Drosophila melanogaster: one gene and its partners. Changing the gene in region 1 together with any one later gene gives a genetic interaction. Each region holds a gene or a part of one and is shown in the gene's direction. Other genes may lie near its edges.

Region 1 (5,244 bases):
TAATAAAGGCCTTTGATTATGTTGCCCCGGGATCCCTTGGGAACGGGCAAACCTTGTTGTCTACCGCTTGTCTGGTCTTTCATAATTTACAGCCTCCCAAAAAAGCGGAATGGAAGCACCGACGCAGTTCTCTGTCCTTTGAAGATTTTGCAAGTTTAATTTATGTGGGTTTGTTTTTTCTTTTCTACTAGCAGTCTCAGCGCACATTAAAAATTCATTATCAGCATAAAGCTGGAAGGTTTCGGGAAGATGGGGTGGCTCAGCTTACCACGACAATTTTGTGGAAAACCAGGAACTACACGTGCAATTATTATCGCTGTCTGACCCAGTTGCTTCAAGGAGAAACGATGGCTTACCTGAATCGATAATTCCTGGCTGCACGTTAGTTTGTCATCCAATGAATCCTATTCGGAGTCCCTCACTTAGGATTCTGGAAACGAGAAACCATAGACAAAACGTGAGAGTTTTGCGGAACTAGTCGCGACTTCTTCTTATCCTTAACAAAGCACTCGCGACAACAACAATCGATTCTGTTCGTTTGCAGTTATTTCTTCCGCAAATGCAAATTGAATTCGCTATTGCGCTCTAATTTCGGCACATACACACGCATACGCACTCTCGCCACACATACACACGAACACAGAGAAACTGGTCAGCAGGCGAATGACGTCATTGCCAAGGATGCTGCGCGCATCTCAAGAACGCTGCCAGAAGTAGCACTTCATTTAAGGAACTGTGTTCTTGCTCTTAGTTGGAATCACTCAAGTCCGTTTCCCCAGAATTAAAAGTTCGCAAGGAGCCCGCCAGATATTTTATTAAAGTCAATTTAATTGCGACTGGCGCCAAGCACTCACATCTGGCTGTGATACTCGGAACTGGACTTACTGATTCAAGCGCGGACCTTCACCGTTCCTCGAAAAATTCAAAATTAACTGAAAGTATCCGCACATCCGCGCATTAACCCAACGGTTTATTGAAGTTTGGTTTTACCAAGAACTGATTCGAAGAGAGGACAGCACGCGAGACCCCGCAAAACACCAAAAACAAAAAGGCGGTAAGGTATTTTGATGTTGTCGTGCGGTCCAACTAAATGAACTACGTATATGTCAAAAGTAAAATCGACATATACGATACTTAGCTTGCACTAATTTGACCAATATTATAAATTGAAAAGTGAGTTGGAAACATCCTTTGCTACATCTGAATATGCAAGTGAGTGAAATCGGCAAAATAATTTAATCTCATTTCTATTCCGGAAGTATTCGATTCCAATCGACACCGCTTGGCTTGAAGCCGCGAATATTTCGATCTTAAGTGCAGTCATGAACCAGAGGAAGCTGATGCGATACTTTGCTAAAAACTTAGATATTCTGTTATAGAGGAATACAATGGCCGACCTGAAAAAATGTTACAGGTGTGTGCTTTAAACAAAATCTAGATGCGATCCATATGTAGAATTTTAATCAGTGTTGACATATCGATGTATGTGTTTTCAGAAAGCGCTGCCGCGGCCGTCGTGTGAACTACGACATATCGATGCATCGATATGTCCGAATGGAATCGGAAGGCATCGATTACCATCGAACTCGAAAAGTACTCGGTCGGCAAAACGGCAAGCGGCGAAAAACAGTGAAAAAAAAAGGGGGAAAGCGAAAAGACGTGCTCAGGAACTGCGGTCGAAGTCTTTGTGAGTGTGTGTGGGTGCAGCTGTCGCCAAACAAATGAAAAGCGCCTGGCTTGCATTAAAATCGGTAAAAAAAAAATCGGAAATGTGCACAGGCATCCAGCGAATGCAGCGACCTATTCGCCGGCGTCGGGACGCCGCCAGCTGAAACTGCACGGTCGAATTTGGCTGCATTTGCACAAACGCTGTGCTGACGCGGGGAAATGGGAGCATAAAAACCGAAACTTGTGTGCGAAATATGCGAATATGCGAAACCTTGGCTCCCAGTGCGATCTATGTGTGTGTGTGTGTGAGCCGTGCTGTGTGTCGGTGTTGCAGAACGAACCAAGTGGGAAGCAAAGCGAGAGAAGACGAAGAGGAAGAAAAAGAGCCGCTTGTACCTGCTCCGAAAACTGAAACATCCGAAATCGGAGGTGAAAAGGTGCTCTGATAGTGTTTAGCTGCAGTTTTAGGAGATGCAAACTGGTTAATTGCTACGTAACGCTATTTTTCCGCTAAATTACTTCACCACCCCTTCTTCTACGTTCAGCGGTGACTTTGGCTTAAGAAAATGAAAATGTGTGGCCATATTTTTTCCTCTCCGTCTTTCTTTCGCCTTCGCGCTCTCCCTTTTGAAACTCTCGCCGCGCGCTGTTCTCGCCGCCTCCGTTTTGTGCCGCACTTCCGAGATAAAGAACGCAAACGCGAGATAAATGCGAAATATTGTATCTGAGGAGCGAGGCAACATACTCATTGTTCTCATCGATTTGTTTTGTCCGACAGAAAAGTGCATTGCATCCGAAAAGCGAATATCCAGTATCCAATATCCATTATCCGAAAGCAGCTAATTACCGACAGACAAGGAATTATTTAGAGATCGCCGCCAAAATGTCGGAGGAAGTAGATCGCAACGATCCGGAGCTCAAGTACCTCTCGGTGGAGCGCAACCAGTTCAACGATCCGGCCACGCAGGCCGAGTGGACACAGAAGCGTCTGGTGTGGGTGCCACACGAGAACCAGGTGAGTCTACTTAAATGTAATGCCTACCCGTAGAGCATGTTCCTACTCTGGACGCAACCTCTGCTACGGGATTTCTACCCCGGAAGCCACGCCCGTTTCAGTGAACTACCTGAATAGACCCTATAGATAGCCTAAATGCAACAGGAACTGCTACAACTGAGATAAAAATACAGTCGATACATCATAACGCTGTTTATTTCGTGAAGTCGGTAGTCATTAGCCCATTATGGTTTTTTTTTTTTTTTTTGTAAAATTACCAAATGTACTTAATTTTCGTTTAATTTTCATATTCTTTTGCGTAAAAAATTGCTACATGTAACTATCTAATATCTAAGTATTACTTCGCAGTGAATGGTTATTATAGAACATAGTGTGTTCGACACATCGTGATAATATTTTAGCCCTAGCTGTACGTGCTCTAATCAATTTTCACAGTGTTTGTCCCCGGCTTTGCGCTTCTTATCAGCCAACACCTTTTGAGCCATCCGACTCACTCATCGATTGGTCATGAATCACGCTTCACCGATCCGTTTATTTTTAATTTTGAACAGGCCCAACTTCTTTGAATTTTCATTACATTCGCACCGCGGTGATAAACTTGGGTAAACATCCGTTGGCGTCGATGCTGAATCACTCTTTTCTCCTGCGCTGATGCTGAATTAATCTCACCGTAGTAGTGTGACACATTTAACTTCTTACTTGGTCAAATCCGCGACCATTTGGTACCAATTTGCATGCAGACGCTCTTCGACTCAGTGACTCACCTCCGAGGGAGAGTGGAAGCAGGAATGGCCCCAGTTCGCAGTTCCCACTAAGAGCGGGCCAAAACAAGTTTTCAATGTGGCTAGGTATTTGTGGTGTGGACTTGCTTGTGTGGGGCTTTCTGGCCTCAACCACACAGCCAGGCCAGCAAAGAAACGAGCCGAGATTGCGCCAAAGAATCGCTTCCCTCGGAGTTCGGGCGCCCGCTCTTGGCCTATAAATTCAAATTCAAAACTTTGGTCGACTGCTAGCGATCAAGCCTTATGATAACAAGCCGATTGTTTTGCTAATTTCGGTGTGGCTTGTTATTCTCTTCTTCAGTTTAAAGCGATTTCATTCAGGTGTCATTCAACTGCATTCCAACGACTTAATTTCAAGACCATAAAAAACGTAAACAGATAAAATTATCAACCGCTCCTTTCTCCCCTGGCTGCCCGTAATTGCTGTATTTGCCAGAGATAATTCCGTACATAGAATGGTAGCACTTTTGGGTGACTTCGTATAATAAAAGCAACATCGAAAACAAAAGCCAACAACTTCACATTTTTGTGTAATTACGCGATCACTTTAACAGACATTTACTTTACAATGGAATCTCACAAAAAGACAACGGCAGAGATAAAACCCAGAAATAAAACGAAAATAACGAAACGCTCGATTGTCATGAGTGGTCCGTCAGATTGTCTAAAGGCTAAAATTTCTTTGCGACTGACGAACGGCACATGAGACGGGTGGAAATAGTTAAGAAATTTGCATATAGCGCAACTGTTGCTCCGCTGGAATGTCCACAGATACAGCTACGTCTTAACGGGAACGGACCCGTCCAAAAGGGTATTCGCCAATTGTGTCAACACTCGTTTCGTTTCCAGCAACTGTTCCAGCTTTTCGAAATGTAAGCGAATTCGCTGAATAATGGCGGCGTCAGTCCACGTACGTGATATCCAAATTCAGTAATTTACTGGTGGATACACAAGGAGACCTTTTGTTCGTGGCTACATTTCGTTTCATGTTGTTTGCTGAACAGCGATGATTCATCGAATCAATTGCACAGAGAGCAAGTTTATTGGTGGGGATTAGATATATTGTACATTGAAGGTTTCGGGTTATAGGTTAATGTATATTTGCGATCTTGAAACTATTTAAATGCTTTTAATAGTTCATAGCTTACTTTTCCATTGTCCAACGATGAAATTGAAAAGTTAATACTTTGGAATTCGTGAACACGGTGGAAATGTGTTTACACCTCTTTTCTTTTTTCCCTCTTCTTCAGCGCTAATGCTCTTCTTATCCGCTGTCTTTGTTCAGGCATTCCTGAACGCCTCACTCCCGAGACCAATCTGAAAACTTTTTATATTGTTAGCCAAATTGAAGTCGGCTTAACCTTCGTCATGTCCAGAGAATCGATTCGATTGTAACGAACGGCGATCATTAGGGGGTCTCTGCTCACCCACACATGCTGCGTTTCATACTTCCACGCTTGTATGTGTGCTGCTCGTATTTATAACCAAAGAAACCACTTTGGACTTTGTTTGCGACCACTCCCACTCCGCTTCCGCGCCCCCGCCCTTTGGCGTGCCGCGATTGGTTCTGGCGGAGATGCCCGTGCCGCGCGAGTGTGTGTTTTCTTTTCGGTTACGGCAATGACAAACGTAGCCAGCTTTCGACTCTCGTCCGTCCGGTTTACGGTCAACGAACCTGCGCCTCGTATCACGTATGTGTAATATACGCTTCTTACCCTCTCCATCTCCACTTCCATCCTCAACAATGCATATACGTTGATCGATTAAGCGAAGGAATAA
Region 2 (5,152 bases), on another chromosome or scaffold:
ATATATATTGAAGCAAGGCAGCTCCACCATTTCACCAAAAAGGGAATGATTTAAATCTAAAGATTAACCTTACCAAGTCCGCATGACTAAATTTCAATGAACTATGCTGTCGCACATGAGCAGTGTGTATAGATATAAAATGTTTATTTCTGCAAGGCAAGCAACCACTTAGCACATGGATTGTTAATGAAACTATGCACCTTCTAAGGGCAGAATACCAAACTGATACTGATAGTTTAGCAATAGAAGGAAAGCCATTAACAATGTGAAGGCTCGGTAAAAGTATAAATTGGCTAGTTAATTACGCCAAATGTAGCTGTTGTCCACATTGTTCTTCGCACATGCATATTACTAATATGAGCAGCATCCTGATAAATCTACCACTTTTTTACATTGCCAAGAGGAGCTATTCTATTCCCCTGTTTACAGACCGCATAAAAAATGTTTCTAGCATTCGAAGAACGCATGTTTCGTAGACTTTTACAAATTGTGGTTGGTTTTATTTTCTCATCTCTCTCGTGCAAACAAAAAGCGCTTACAATAGAAGTCTAAAAATGCGTTTTTTAGAATTCGAAGGGGCGCCGTGTGATTACTTGGAAATAACAATGGGCCCGGTCTGCTTGGCGGCATCGCGCTGCTTGAACACGATCTGGTTAGCAATACGGTCCAGATCACGCTGTCCAATGGAGCTCAGTTTGCGACCACCGTCCGGGTGCTTCTCGACCAAACGGGCGTGCTCCAAGGCCTGCAGAGCCTTGCGGGCAGCACCGTCGGCGGCGCGGCAGAAGTGCGAGGGGTGGACACCGTTGCGCTTGCGTCCGCCGTAGATCTTGGTGATCGAACCGACTCCAGCGGGACTGCGGTGGTACAGATGGCGCAGGATCGAGGCGCAACGCACATAGAACCAGTCGGGATCGTAGGGCGCCAGCTCCTTGAATTTGGCGGTCTTGACGATGTCCATCTGGTCGGGCACCTTCAACTTGCCAGTCCTATTTGGTTTTTTTCGTGTTTTTTTTTTTTTTTTTGGGGGGGGATAAACAAATGGATTGTGAGGTTATGTGGTGGAAATATACTTGATGTTCAGTACTCACTTCTTCAAGAAGACGGCGACCGCCTTGGTAACCGCGTGCTGGTCAATATCCTTCACTGTGACGCCTGGCATCTGCGGGCAGAACGGGAAAAACAAATGGGGAATCTATTACAATGCTGCCAAAAACACGTTGTCGCGATTTCCACGATTCTCTCACAGACACACTCTTTCTCTCTCTCTCTCTCCCTCGCACACACACATGCACGGGCACAACAAAAAATTGCCAGCCGAAGTTTTAACCCGAAAAAAGCTGTCCTTTCGTGTTTACGGCCGGCCCATTGTGTCATTTGCCACTTGGCGTGGGCTCTTTCATTGAATTTCACCCATTCAAAACATAAAAAAAAAGATAATTCACTTGAAAAGAATTCGTGCACAACCTTTCTCGTTAAAGTCAACCGGAAAAAAGAACAAGGCGCGTGAAGTTGGCTGCGGTTAATAGTGCTGGGCCTGCCACCAGCAATAGTATCGATTAATCGAATGCCGGCGCGGCGAACTATCGAAGATTCGGTTAATGATACTCTAACACGTATGTGTTCAATTTATAGTTATTTTTAAAAATATTTAAATTAATGAGCACACCAAGATTATATTATATATTACTTGGCATTTGAAGACCTTGTCTAAACATGCATTTTCGTATTAGTATATTTTCAATGTGGGCAAAGAATGCGTAGTACAATTCATATTTTGCTGTATCACTTTATTCATAAATAACTGCTTTTTATTTTGTTAGCAACCGATTTACATAACTATTCATGAAGCTAGTTTCTGAGTCTATCGAATAACAAGCGGCCCATCGATGACGCAGACAACCGATATTGCCGCAGCACCATCGCCATTTGGAGCGCCACCTGTTGGCCCTGGTATATTCTGGTATTTTCATCGGCGCCTAGTGACTTCGATACTTCAACTTCGATATGTAAACACAATTGCCATCTCTACCAGCACCGAGCCGAAATAAAATAAGTGCAACGCGCAGCGTCTAATTGAAACCAAATTGATCTATTTGGCCGCGGCCGAAACTGGACATTCGCAATTTGGGCGGTCAGCCGCCCCCGTCCCGTCCCGCCCCCCCGTGCGTTTCCCCCGCTGCCGACGGACAGTACGTCGGTGTGACGCACATCGGTGTGTGCGCGCGTGTGTGTGTGTCTGTGAAGCGCCTTGTTATTGTTGTTGTAGCGCTTGCTACGTTCGCCGTTCGCAGTGCACTGGTGTGCGTGCGCTCGTGTAAGTGTGTGTGCACAGAGGTATCGTTGGAATTAACAAAAAAATAGAAGAAGGAAAAAGCTACTTGATTGGGGCACACAAAAACCAACAACTCAAAAGGCCGAGAAACAAAAGCCCACCTTCAACACCACCAATCCGCCGCATTCGACACATTTTGGCCAGGTTTTTGGCCACAAGTGTTGACACAACTGTTGCATGCCAAGCGGACTGCGGACAATAATCCCCGTTCCCTTGTTTACCCAACAATCCATCGTGGTCAACGTGATCATCCTGGTCATTACGATCCCATTTGCACAGGAAGTAAACTAGATTGATAGCATTTTCCGGGAATCGATAGCACACCTGCCTGCCGTGTGGGAAACGCACCTGGGAACGCCCGGGTGCTCGGCTGCGTCCGCATGTGGCGTTGGCGGCACTCCACCAAAAGAAGCCAGCGCCAAGTGCCCAATCCCCATACCCATACCCATTCCCATTCCCATCCCCATCCGTATTCGATTGGCGTTCAGTGGCAGCAGTTAGCCAGAAATCCAACGAAACACTCGTGACCTCATCGCCAGCAAACAGCAAACAACTAGCGCTTGACGCGTGCCTCCTCTCCTCATTACTATTAGCATTCCCAGCATAGACAGACGTCCAACAACTCCTGGCAGGTAAATGTACAATATAAATATGTGTACCCCGAAGAGAACTCTGTTAAACCCTTGCTTCGCTTTCAGTTGCAGCACAGGAGCAGCAGTTGACCAACAGGAAGCAGCAGCTGGAGCAGCAGTATCAGCTTGTTATCTTGCATTTGCATGCCAGCTGGACGAGAAACTGTGACCAAGCAGCGCAGCATGGATGTGGAACGAAGGCGCCGGTGAGTGCACGAGATGGCGGCCCAAAAGCGACTGCTCCACTCAATTAATTGTCACCTGAATGGCAGCATCAGCAGCAGCAGCAGCAGCAATAGCAATAGTAGAAGTCGAAGTAGAAGTAGAAGTGGCAGTAGCCATCGCACAGATACGTGCGATTTGTACAGACAGATTTGTGATTTGTTCAACTGACCAAGCCAAGCAGGCAGCTAAGCAGCTAACCAGCTAACCACCTAACCAGCCAACTAGCCAGCTAGCACAATTCAGCGCAAGCCAAACGGGCCTGGCCAAAACAAATCAAAAAGTAATACACCGCTGGCAAACACCTTCCATATCTCATGTTCAAAGCGACAGCGCGGCAATCAAATTGACAAGCGAGTGAACAAAACGGGGGGCGACTTTATAATAAATTTGCCATTTTCGCATTAAAATTTGTAACCAAACCAAAAAGAAAAAAAACCAAAACGAAAACGAAAAGCGAACTAAAACGAACGCACAGTGGCTGATGCCGCCGTTTGTCAGTTGCAGGCGTCGCGTTGCATCGGCTGCATCGTTTGCATCGTTTTGGGCCAAAAAGGTAGAATAGATAGCCAGCACCACGCCGGTTTCTTCCATTGGACAGTAGACGGTATAGGGCATGGGGACATGGCTAATGCCCGCCGCCCTCCATTCGTGCGAGCCGGAACGGTACGTTGTTCTCATCTCCACGCTCCTAGCATTCAGCATTCAGCATCCAGCTCTCAGCTACCAGTTGTCGTCCTGGTTCGCTTGCATTCCAAATTCCGAGAATACAATTTGCCCAGCAATTCCGCAGCGTCGAGTATGCATATAAATACTTAAATTTAATTACCCATCCCCACTCGGTATCTGCTGTAAGCAGTCATAAGCGAAGCAAACGTTAAGGCATTTGCGTACTAACAATGGCCAATTGCAATGCGCATTTGGTTATAAAAGCCGAACAGTTCCTTTGTGCTGCCTGGGCAAATAATTAATTAGAATTAATAAGGTGTGAAGAGATTCTGCAACGCAGATGCAGTACCACTCTCTATCTCTGTGTGTTGAATGTGAAGCGTTCAATTTGTAAAAACTGGCAGATCGAATTTGGCGACGTTGTATAAATTAAGTTGAAAATTATATTGTCTATAGGTGACGATAATGTTGTCGTCGTCGTCGTCATCGTCGTCGTTGGTTATTATGTATTATTATTGCCGTTGTTGTTGTCAATAATGTTGCTCATAATTATGTTGTTGTTGCCATTTTGCCGCTTTGGCCAAATCGAAATCAACAGCGGCAACGAAAATTCATCGCAGCATTTTTGAAAATTCCACTTTCCCAAGTTGTTTGCTTTTGTGTATGGTGTGTGTGTGTGCTGCTATTACCCGCTGCTTGAGCGTTTTGTTTTTGGCTTTTCTGTCATGCCGTAAGTGGCGATGATGAAATCACAACAATTCAAACACCTTTTAGTATCAATTTTTAGCGCCGACTGTCATCGCAGTTTGCCTGCTCCTGCATCTGAGTCTGACTTTTGCTTGCTGGGCACCGAAATTCGATTCCCAATCGCTGACAGACTGACTCCGCATCTCCGACATCTTGCATCTTGCTAATTGCACATAAATCTTGGTTACGGGAATTAGTTTTTGACCGGAAAATGCCTTTAAATTTAGAAATTCAGAACCAACGCACTGGCAGGCCAAATTTAATTGTTTCATTCTTTGCCGAATATGTAGTTTAATTTGCCGAGAAATTCCATTTGAAAGAGCGCTTTTCCCATGCTCTAGTAACCTCGTATGCAAATACCTAATTGTTATAATTAATTTTCTATATATTTACATTCGCAAGATTTTATTTTCCATGATTTATGTACATACATACACTCTCCGAAGAATGAACCTTACCTTTTTGTTTACATTCAAAAGTAAATAAGCAATTTGTATATTCTTAATATCATTTATAAAGAATGAAACGCTTGGTGAATCAGAGCAGT
Region 3 (5,206 bases), on another chromosome or scaffold:
GAGTGAGCAAGTTTGGCTGTGTGAGGTCAGTGTTGCGTGAACTTTTCGCATTGGAATGATGATGTACTAACTTTTGGCGCCCACTGTTCAATATTCCCTTTATTGCGCCTATTACGACTATCTATCTCTGCCCATTTTCACTTGCGCTAATTACGCCGTTGCATGACCACTGTACTCGGGACTGATTGGAATGCTAATTGGAATTTGCAATTTTATTTATTCCGATTGGTCATACGCCATTACTTCTAGGGCTGGGCAGGTGATAGAGATAGAGATATATATTCAGTTCAAATTATATATTAGTCATATTTAGCGATGTCTAAAATAATTACGTGAATGCCTTTCTATATGCATTCCATTGTGGCTGTCTAATATACATATAATTTTGACTTATTGAACAACTGCCAAAACATCTGATCCAATTTAAACCGTACGAAAAAATACATTTCCCTGAAGAAAGCCTAAATCCATGCACCGTTCAACAATTTGTTTACGTTGACTTTATCGTATTAAAAAAAGGCTATCGACCATTTAATCTTATCATCAAACAGCTGGAATATGCATTTACGTTTATCTGGGAACGCGGTGCAGAAATGTGTACTTTATGTTTATCTGGAACCGTTGATATATGTAGATACATTCATATGTTTCGCATTCTTGAAATTATTACTTTCCTCGTTTTGTTGCCCAGCGGACACATTTTCTTCGCATATTAAAGGTTATTTTTTCCTTGCCATCTGTTTGTTTGTTTATGTTGCTTTTGCGGGTATTTTTAGCACAAATCCCTCGCCTTTTGATCTACTTGCCATTCGGGTTCGCCAGGCAAATTCGCTGGGAGAGCTGGTGCATGAGCACGGTTCCGACTTGATGCTAATTGCTCCGCAAATATGCAAGAAATGTAAAAGAGAAAAATCGGAGAAAATCACGAACTGTGCAACTGCAACTGCAATTGGAACTGCAAGCGCTGGATGCGAAAGAAACAATAAACATTTTGATGTCTACATTTTTGCAAACAACTGATTCGAGAGCGGCAACAAATTGCCTGGAAACGGAGACGAAAAGTAAACATGCAAGAGAAAAACTATTTGCCATACAAGTCGTTGGGAAAAGGAGTGTGGCGGGGGGCACGGGGTTTGTGCGACCAATAATGGGGGAATTAATTAACATGGCCAGCGGCGGCAATTAGACCAAATAAACGAAACAGAAAGGAAATCGATCCGAGTCACAAGCCTCCAATGTTGCTGGATGTGTGTTTTTACAAAGCTGTGATCGTTTTGCCTCTTGAATCTCCGATATCACAAAGTGCACTGTGCGTAATGATTTTAATGAATTTAAGGTATAAATATGTTAGGCTTATGTAGAAAGTACAATTTGATATATATAATATAATAAATTATATATGTAAGTCTTACAATTTTTCTTTAGTTTTTACTTGGGATCGCTAATAATGCGATTAAATAAACTAAATTTCTTTTAATTAAGTTTTCCCGTGTAAATATAGGCGACCGCAGAGTGGGTTACTTTTAGCTAGGCCAAAAGCGAGACCGCAGCAGCTACTTGAATGGCCAAAATCGGCCTAATGAGTTGGGCAACACATGTTTCGATTTGACTTCCATAGCGCGACGCTGCGAAAAGGAGAACCGTCAGTCGGTGGCCAAATGTGCAACAGGTGGGCGATCGCATGCGAGCGACTGGTCTTATCGCATGCAATAAATGCACGATAAAGAGAAGAAGCCGGCTCACAAAAACACGAAGAAAATCTGAGACTGAGCTTCGCAAGCGGCGCTCTCTTTCTCTGAAACTGAAACTCGGAGGTTGATTTTGTGTTTTTTTTTCTTTCGTTTCATTTTGTGTTTTTGGTTTTATTTATCGTGACTCAGTCGCGGCGGCAACTTCGTGCATCGCTTTTCAGTTGAAAACTTGCAGGCAAGGCGCGCGGTCGCGTTTCGATTCAAAAATCGAATAGTAAATAGAGAGAATAGTAAAAGAAAAAATAAAAATAAAATCGCTTGCCACGCATGCGCAGCTCATCATCGCGTGTGTGCGAATTGGCCAATGAGTGAATCGATTGCAATTGGCTTTTTGCAATACATAATAACAATAAATTATGACGGTATGCAAAGTGGCCTTTTTTTGATAATCCGATCCGTTCAGCGAAAAGGCACAAAAGGCGAACTATCGTGATGTAATACCGCGCGAATGCGAATTGTTCATATCGCTATTGTAATAATTTAATAATTAATTATACAGGCGGGAGCTATTTTTCGGCTTCGCCTCAAGGAAGTGATTAATGCAAAACATTATCAAAGTGCGAAGAAAGTGAAACAAAAAGCGCTGAAAGATCAGCATGGCTTGAACATACGTATATACTCGAGATTTGGTGGCGCAATGACCTTTGTGTGTTTGTTGTTTGATTTTATTTGCCATGTTGGGGATGTTCGCTTAATTATGGGTTTTGGCCACATGTATCGGACATTAGTATGAATCTGTGTTTCGAGTGTGTCCATGATTAATTCAAAATTGCTCAAGGCATGCACGGTCAAAACTGAAGTTGATTTTAGGGCTTACTGGTCAAAGTCAGGCTTAGCTTTCAATTAATTATGTAGTTAGACTGCTACAATTAGTTTAAATCTGATTAGGATTTTCACAAGACCCCATATCGAATGCCGAATTAATTAATTTTAAATTAATAAAGGGCTGTTTTGGTTGCCCAATGATTTTTGCACAAGGTGGCCTTTAATTGATCTGATCACCTTTCTAAAATCATTCAAATTCAAGCTCTTCGCCAAACCATGTAATTTTTTCGTGTGCAACTAATGAAGACGATCGCGTCGCGGCTGCATATTTGATTGTTTGAAAGTCTCGAATGAAAGTGCCTTGGCAGCATGTTACTGTACTGTACACTTCCCTCCCCTCACCGATTACCACTTTTTTTTTTTTTTTTTTTTTTTTTTTTGTTTGCTTCGGGCCAACTTCAATCACAGAGTGCTAATTGTTTTCTCAGGTCTCCGTGGATTGAATTCCCCCAGTCGACAAGTTCCCATTACTGCAATTTCTTCGCTTATTCTGCCATTCTGCTCGCTCTCTAACTGCACTTTTTAATCCGATCCCAAATCGCAGATCGCAGATGCAACTGCGGCGGATCGAGCGCAGCTGATCTCGAAATTGCATGAATCACTCGGCCTAAAAGACCCTCTGCACAATCGATTTGCACGCTAATTTTGGATTTGGCGACGTGCAGACACTCGACTTTGACAAAATAAAAACTGGAAAAAAATAAAGACTGCAAATTCGAAAACATTGTAGGCTGGCGTGTCGGGGCATTTTCAATTTTCCAGCGCATTAGTCATCGCCGGTCTAATCGGCCAACAAAAAACTAAAGAAAAAAAAAAAAAACGAAGAAAAAAGCAAAACCGGAGCCTTAAACTGTAACTAGTTTTTTCCAACGCTCTCTGAGCTGAGAAACTAATCCGTCGTCCTGCATGAATCTCGCACTGAAATTTGTATCTCCAAGCTGGCTGGACCAAGTGAAAGTGGACAAAAAAAGAAATATATATGTAGAAATAGAGAAAAAAAGACTTCAAATACAACTGCAGCAGACGCGTGAAACAATTTCTCATATTTTTCTTGGCTCCCCGTACACTTCGGTTATGTGTTTTCCATCCACTTATTCAATTTGCCATTCACTGCACACAAGTGAAGACGAGCTTAACCCCCAAACTGGCCGAAGATGTGCCCCCAAACCCTCCAAAGCCCCCCAAAGACCACACTTAACACTCGAAAGCCAATGGCGCATTTCATTTCTCGGCTTTGGACTCTTTCGTTTTCTTGTAATGCGTGCCAGGCACGTTAAAGTAATTGTACAAATTAATTTATTAATTAAGCCACTGGCCGGAATGGTCAGAAACAATAGCGAATGCTAAATGCTCTTTGTCTCAAGTTAAATTGCCGATCATTTGTTTTTTTTGCTCCAAGTCAGAGCTGCCGTTTTGGTGAAAAGAGGAGGGTATTCATTCGAGAAACTTTCACTCTCCGCTTGCCAAAATTATGTATGCAACAGGTATTGCCGCAAGGTTTTAATAAAACCTATTCGAAACGCAGCTCCAAAATCCCCAACGCTCATTTCGAGGATATCCGGACCAGCAAACTTACGCATCTCGACCAGGTTCAAAAACCCGACCCATTGTCTTTAGCTCTTCTGTTTTATTTTGGCTTTTCTCCTCGCTTATTGCCCACTTTGTCTCAGTCTCAGTCAACGGTTTAGACTTTTTTGGCCTTTATTTTGATTCGACTTTGTGGCGTTGGCTTTTCATTTTGCATTTCGTCAGCGGCGACACAAACTCGTTGTGTCATACATAATTCTGTTATTGTTTTATTTAATTAGTTGCGTTGTCTTTCTTGTGCGGTGCGCTTCTTTGGGCGACCGAACGCTTTTCCCACTCCGAAAAATAGAAACACTCCATCGTGCGGAGAATTTCATTTGGCCGCCACCGTTCCTTTGTGGGTCATGATAAGCAATCACTTTCCACGTGCCCAATTCTGGCTCATTTGAATAGTTAATTGTAAGTTGACATTTACCTAGGAAAGTTCAAGAAAGTGAAGATGCAGTGAATGTTGGCAAATATTTGGGAATTCTATGATAAAGATTAAACTTAAAGCCAACTGATATCCTCTTCCCTTCTGCCCCTTTGTATATCCATAAGATGGGCAAATAATTGAATCCTGCTGCTTACAAACTAAATGGCAATATCAGTGCAGAAATATCTCTTTTCCCCGCCAACTTTCCCAACATTTGTCACCTGTCTTTAGGGGATAGACAATAGTTTTGCTTAGCTCACTGCGCAGTCGACGTCGACTGCGAGGTTCCCACGCCCAAATTATTTGCACAATATGTAGCCAGAGCTCTCCAGTGAATTCCAATTCAATTCAGGCGGCTGGTTCGTGTTTTCCCAACCCAGAGAAATAAGCCAACATGGAATGCCGAACCAGCATTTGGCCCAACCAGCATTTTTCGCTGTTTGTGGAGCACTCCAAGCCATTGTCGACTATTTCAGTGAGCCGCTGACAAACCGTTAATGTGGCGAATTGACTTGCTGAGGAAAAAGCTAGCCAAAAGCCAGTACAAAAAAAAACAAACATATAGATGGCAAAGAGTTGTTATTATTATTTAGTTATTCCTCGCAATGAAGTCAATTTCTGTACGTAG
Region 4 (6,456 bases), 2.2 Mb from region 1:
ACTTTTGCAGTTCGTCGTGCAGCCACAAAGCCAAAGTGCCATTCATTGGACGACAATGAGGCAGCATTGATTGATATCGGGACTCACCTCAATGCCATTGTAGTGCAAGCTCCTCTTGCGACGCAGCTCAATGTTGACGGATTTTGGATTGGTGGAGGAGGTGGAGGATGAGGAGCTGCTGGCCCCGATTAGCAGCCACAAGGTGGTCAAAACAATTAAAGCCAAACGACGGTGCCGATTAGATCCAATTGCTGCGACAGTCATAACGATGCGTTGATGATGACGGCTTCTCTGGGACTCCACAGGTGGCTATTGTAATGCTCCTAGTGCACTAATCGCTCTTTGTTGTGGCAACAACCACGCGACGATTGTTGCATAAATTGCAAATATATTATTCCTCAGGCTGCGCACCGATTTCGGTTTTTTTGCGTCATAATTTTCAGTGGTAGCGGAGTTACATTTTCCAGCGGCGAAAATCGAGGGTGGAAAACTTGGAGCCCGATTTCTCAAAAGGGGAGAGAGAGCCAAATGAAGGCGCGATCGTGTACGGGGCTCCAACTTTTACGGCTGTTAATTCAAATGTTTATGCACTAATTAATTGCCCAGGCATTGCATTACGAGTCATTTGTTGTGGGCCACTTTTTTTTTTTTTTTGCACTCTATCTTATTTATGTTTCGTTTTATTTTAGTGGCTGGTGTACTTTAGTTTGTTGCCTAAGTTCTTCCTTATGGATCGACACTCGAGATAAGACCAAATGGTGCTTGAAAAATGCTATTTTAGCTCCAGCTCCAGTTCTGAATTGCCAATATATTGTACATATAATGCCAGTCTTTTGTCATTTAAACGCACTTGATTTTATTTAAACGCCAGCGCACAATTAAGCAGCCAGCAACAAACACACACGGCATATAGATCATCGGCTCTGGAGCATAACGATCTTCTGGTTTTATGTCCATAGCCGAAAAGCACTTTATATGTATATTTTTTAACTAAAAATCGCTAAATCACGCCGAAATCTGACCGCTTTGGGGCATTTAAAATTTGAAACGATTTACTGGAGGTCAATGCGCGTTGGATCGATCGAAGGACTTTTTTCGTGGCGACGAAAGAGACGGCGACAGAAGCGCAGAAAGAGGCGGCGAGAGCGAGGCAACCACTCGCGACGGCGGCACTTTTGCGAATGAAATGTGAAAATCACGGAAAACTCGAGCTCGCGATCGTCGGCTGGCGCTCCATTCTCGTTCGGCTTTTTGGCCGGAGTTCGCAAAAGTACTTTTGGAGCGCAAACAGACTCATAAATATATGCTAATGAGCCAGAGCGCCGGAAGAAGAGAAGAAGAATGCGCCAACCGTTAAGACGCAGCAAAGGGCCACAAAAAAAAAACAGGAGAGTTTGGGGTACTAAACAAAAACAGAGGCAAAATTCTGAGGCGATGGCGATTGTTTTGTGGTCAAGTGCTTGAAAATGATGGAGCAGACGAAAACTTGACACTGATCATCAGCAAAAAAGGCTGCGGAGTGGCAAGAATTATGCTGCATTTCCGCCGCGGAGTTTCGATGTTCTGCGGCCTGTGGCAGCAGGAAATCTTAAATCAGCGAATGCAAATCAGGGGGGCACAAAAACAAACCGAACACAGCCAATTGAAGTGATCAACTTTTAATTGATGCAATCAATGGATGGTGCAACCGAGTGACGACTGGCAGTCAAAGCGATGGCTTTATTAAAATGGGGAACCTTAACCAACTATCAAATTTAATCCATGAAGTTTTCATTTTTAAAATATGTATAAAATGGATTGAGCTTGAATATCTAACAGAAATTTCAAACTGTAACGTTTTCTTTTTCGGCTAATTTTAAATTTAAATTTGAAATTTATGGGTAGCACTGTTTCAGCCCTGTCATCGATAAGCTGTGCACCAGTACTGGTCACACTAAAACTATCGAAAATTATCGCACGTATCGCATCTCTATTTTGCATGCTCTGCTCTAATAAATCGATTATTCTCGAGCGCCACTGCGGCTTAAAAGGGAACTAAGTCCAGAAATCGATATCGTCAAACTCATCGGCATTTATCATCGAGTTTACTTCCATCCCCATTCCCATTTTCAAATTCAAACGGCAGCTTGGCCTCGCTTCGTGTGCAAAAACTCGATCAGGTTTTCGGAGAATTGACAATCCCGCACTCGACTTGTAAATTATAAACTATTAGTAATCATATATTCGGACAACAAATTCAACAGCTAAACAAGCGTTCGGTCACAGAAACGCGATCAAAAGTCAACCAAACCAAGTGATAGCCAAGCGTCTGCCTATCTTCGTGTTAATTGTGTTTGTACAGATAGAAAAGAAGCAATCAAAATGGTGGGCACAACACTGAAAATGCGTGGCGATGAGGTGAGTTGATCCCTAGAACATTAAGATTACCGTGGCATCCGCGAAAAGGTCATGGTAAAGTCACAAACTAGTGGGCTCGTCATCAGCGAGACGCCATTGCAGCGTGGTCATGTAGAGAGGGGCAAAGAGGACGCTGCGATAGTGCGATGAGTGTGTGAAGGGAGGGGGAAAAGAAAGAGTGCCGTTTGTCCCGGGCGCTCATTGTTGTCGTTGTTGCAGTTGCCTTGCTCACATTTTGGCGCAATTTTCTACCGGCGGTGCTTGCACCGTTAATTAGTACTCTCCACACCTATTTTTCGCACCAAATCACAGAGGAGATAAATCGAGGATCAGTCTTGCGGTGCTTTTCCCAAAATGGCCGCCCTTGAAAAGGTGCATTTCATGATCAAGTCATTATTATGCAACAAACTGATCTTGCTTTAACAATTTAAAATAATTAAAATCAGTGCTCAATAATTAAAGATGTTAAAGAATAGGGTTCAAAGTGCAGATATGCATTCAACTATACTTGTTGCACTTCTCCATTTGTTTTCTAAAACTAATTAAACAATATTCGATAGAACGCTTCGGAGAACTTCAAGCAAGTGCAATTGAAGAAATTGACGGTTCCTTCCATGGAGGCAACAACAAAACGCGCGGCCTTGGGCGATTTGCAGAATCGCGGCATAAGTCGTCCCATCGCAGCGAAGGATGCGGCACAGAAAGAGTAAGTGTTTGAACCAGTATCAAGTATTCCATTCGCAATCACATGTGGTTACTCCACCGAGCAGCTCCAAGGATCTCAAGCTCACAGACGCCCTGCGCAATGCCAAAGCTCGGGTGGACAGCCACTGGAAGAAACAGCCACTGGGCAGCACCAATGGCAATGGCAATGGCGCCGTTCCGCCCAAGGTCAACGAGGGGGGCGTGTCGGCGTTTTTGCGTTCGAATTCGGTGCGCAATCGCGTTCCGACCAAGACCACTGTAGAACCCACTAAAGGTAAGCAAAAGAGCAATCATCTACCAATCATCATCATCTACCATTTCCAATTTTTGAATGGCTTGCATCATACTGACCCCAATTCATCTTGAATCCCCAAAGTTACAGTCAAGTCCAGTTCTTCCGAGAACGTGAACGAGCCCACCTTAAAGCGCGAGGACAGCAATCTGTCGAAGAAGTCGCTGACCAAACTGCGTGCCGCTTTGGCCAAACCCGTGATGGGAGTTTCAGGAATTCGACGGGAACCAGTAGCTGTTTCCCGCAAAGAGGCAGAGACCAAGAAGGAACTGCCAGAAACCAAGAAGGACTCACTGGAAGTGAAAAAGGATGCGACCAGGATGCCCCTTATTAGGGGCAACAGTGCAGTCACTACGACCACATCTACGATGCCCACCACCATGTCCCTTTCCAGCAAGCGCTTGGCTGGAATCGAGGACATTGATGCCAATGACAAGGAGAACCTGGTACTGGTCTCCGAATATGTAAACGACATCTACGACTACTTGTATCAGGTGGAGCTGGAGCAGCCCATTCACAAGGATCACCTGGCCGGACAGAAGGAGGTGTCCCACAAGATGCGAGCCGTGCTGATCGATTGGATCAACGAAGTCCACCTGCAGTTCCATCTGGCTGCAGAGACCTTCCAGCTGGCGGTGGCTATCATTGATCGCTACCTGCAGGTGGTCAAGGACACCAAACGCACGTACTTGCAATTGGTGGGAGTGACAGCACTCTTCATAGCCACCAAGTACGAGGAGCTGTTCCCGCCGGCAATCGGAGATTTCGTCTTCATCACGGACGACACCTACACTGCCCGGCAGATCCGACAGATGGAGCTGCAAATCTTCAAGGCCATCGACTGTAATCTGTCGCGTCCGCTGCCGATTCACTTCCTTCGACGCTACTCGAAGGCTGCTGGCGCCGAGGACGAGCACCATACGATGTCCAAGTACTTCATCGAGTTAGCTTCCGTGGACTACGAAATGGCCACTTACAGGCCATCGGAGGTGGGTTTCAATACACTATCCCCTTTTATTTAGCATAGGTATATGTAATATTTTTTGCGGCGCCTTTAGATTGCAGCTGCCTCACTGTTCCTGTCGCTGCACTTGCTCAATGGAAACCACCGGGCCGGTACAGGATTCAACGACCGTCACTGGACGCCCACTCTGACCTTCTACTCGCGATACTCGGCCGCGCACTTGCGTCCGATTACCCGGCTGATCGCGAAACTGGCCCGGGACGCTCCTCAGGCCAAGCTGAAGGCCATCTACAACAAGTACCAGGGCAGCAAGTTCCAGAAGATCGCGCTGCGAACGGAGCTGACCGGTGCGCTGATGGACTCGATTGTGGGCCAGAGCCAGAGGAAATAGTGCGGTCCAAGGCGGACTGGAAGACCCTGACTTACCTAGTTTAGTTTAATTTGTTTTCATTTTTAAATTTGTAGCGTATTTCATTTTCTGTTCGTTTCGTGTTCGTTAAAAAATGCGTATAGTTACCGTAGTCGCATTGCCAACTATCTTTACCTGCATCACCCATCCCTAAGATATCGTAATCTGCTGGAGTCCCTTGAGCAGTTTTCGGCTACTGCCAAGAGCTGGCTCCGGCATCTTTGCCCACGGAGCACAAGTTGCTCGCGAGCCGGCCGCTGGGAGTGAGTTCCTCCGGTAAGACTAGGAACCGAACTAAACTGGAGCCCGTCAGCTCCTTTCGCTGGGTCACCATCTCAGTGGGAGCGAGCGGCGGAGCGGTGGACACCGAGAGAGAGAGTGGGCAACGAGTTCATTTGCTGGCCGAACACATCGGCGTTGTCTCTCCAAGAATTATATTTTATAATTGTACCCGTGAAATCATTTCATCCCCTACCTACCTATCACTAATTGTATTTGTCGTTAGTTTTTAGTTTCGATGGGAATGAATAAATCCAAAAAATTGTGCAAAATTATTCCCATAAATCGCATAAAAAAGAGACGTAGACTATTTGTAATTTATATCATGTATTTCGCACATTCATACAAAAACAACTTATGCTAGTTATATTGTTTACCACTAAGCAACGATTAAAACACGTTTTAACTAACTGATGTTTCCCAAAAATGTCTCTGAACAATACATAGAAAATAAAGTTTTGTATAATTTTATAAACAATATTCGTGTTTACCTTGCATGCAATGTGCCGCCATGTGACTTCATTAGTTTTGAAATCTTTCCGACAGCTGATAAGTGTGAGAAATTTTCCACACCCCTAAAAAAACCAGACAGCCTGAGATGAACGCAGACCCTTTTCCAAGGACGGAGGTCCTTTTGTCCTGCATTCTTATCAATCCTGAATACACAATATATGTACAGTGATATACCTCTGTATACCCTGCACCTATGTACATACATACAAACATATGTATAGTCGGCGCCCCTGGGGAAGGTCACCTTCCCGATCGCAGGTCAGTTACTTCTCTTCCGCTTCTCCCTTTCCTTCTTCCCTTTTTAACGCTTTTCTCTCCCTTTTTTTGGTACCGTGTTCCATGGGCAACGGTAATTGCCGAGCACATTGCTCGCACATGGTTGTGCGTGTGTGTGTGTGGGTGTCTATCTCACTTTTCTCATGTACAGTAGTTACTCGATACAAAGCCAAATAAAGGCAACCTTATAGTTAAGTTCTTAAGAAACATATAAGCGAATTATCGAACGAATATTTCAAATAGTTTTCGTTAGTAGCAATTAATGCATTAGGTAAAAAGTTTGAGTTTCAACATTTGTTCGCCTTATAGAGCGCCCACTGTACACGGCCTGCTGACTTTGCTGTGCGCCTGTTCGAAATTTAAGTTTGACGGTTTTATGACTCTCATTAATTCTTGTTTACGGTCAAACAAATGTAGTAAAAAGAAAGTCATTTTTCTCGGCACCTCCGCTGCTCCTCCCTTTTGGCATATTTTATGTTGGCTGCCAGTGGCAATCGGCGTCATAAAAACTCCATGCCGTATAAATCGGGCTTACAGTTTTTGGGTCTTGGTACCCTCTGTTTCTTCTTCTCTTTTTGGAAACTTCTTGCTCTCGCTTCTGGCTTGCTGTTACCGAAATAT

What was found.
Region 2: of zip (region 1) and Rok, changing one suppresses a phenotype caused by changing the other (phenotypic suppression), as found in Drosophila melanogaster (3 studies listed by BioGRID).
Region 3: of zip (region 1) and Csk, changing one suppresses a phenotype caused by changing the other (phenotypic suppression), as found in Drosophila melanogaster (one study listed by BioGRID).
Region 4: of zip (region 1) and CycB, changing one suppresses a phenotype caused by changing the other (phenotypic suppression), as found in Drosophila melanogaster (one study listed by BioGRID).

The regions. Positions count from the first base shown.
Region 1 is NT_033778.4:25,007,819-25,013,062, reverse strand, and holds the start of zip (zipper), read left to right. Parts: upstream 1-1,599; 5' UTR 1,600-1,721; coding exon 1,722-1,751; intron 1,752-1,854; exon of another isoform or gene 1,855-1,963; intron 1,964-2,446; coding exon 2,447-2,683; intron 2,684-5,244. UniProt on the Drosophila melanogaster protein: Nonmuscle myosin appears to be responsible for cellularization. Required for morphogenesis and cytokinesis. Necessary for auditory transduction: plays a role in Johnston's organ organization by acting in scolopidial apical attachment.
Region 2 is NC_004354.4:16,634,243-16,639,394, reverse strand, and holds the start of Rok (Rho kinase), read left to right. Parts: upstream 1-1,980; 5' UTR 1,981-2,967; intron 2,968-3,033; 5' UTR 3,034-3,111; coding exon 3,112-3,173; intron 3,174-3,727; exon of another isoform or gene 3,728-3,820; coding exon of another isoform or gene 3,821-3,855; intron 3,856-5,152. Other genes in the region: RpS19a (ribosomal protein S19a), read right to left, coding at 590-989, 1,092-1,162.
Region 3 is NT_033777.3:11,643,695-11,648,900, reverse strand, and holds the start of Csk (C-terminal Src kinase), read left to right. Parts: upstream 1-1,924; 5' UTR 1,925-2,055; coding exon of another isoform or gene 2,056-2,113; 5' UTR 2,114-2,185; intron 2,186-5,206.
Region 4 is NT_033778.4:22,802,587-22,809,042, reverse strand, and holds CycB (cyclin B), read left to right. Parts: upstream 1-2,094; 5' UTR 2,095-2,361; coding exon 2,362-2,397; intron 2,398-2,543; exon of another isoform or gene 2,544-2,751; coding exon of another isoform or gene 2,752-2,769; exon of another isoform or gene 2,770-2,957; coding exon 2,958-3,103; intron 3,104-3,167; coding exon 3,168-3,376; intron 3,377-3,478; coding exon 3,479-4,383; intron 4,384-4,452; coding exon 4,453-4,749; 3' UTR 4,750-5,522; downstream 5,523-6,456. Other genes in the region: stl (stall), read right to left, coding at 88-264. UniProt on the Drosophila melanogaster protein: Essential for the control of the cell cycle at the G2/M (mitosis) transition.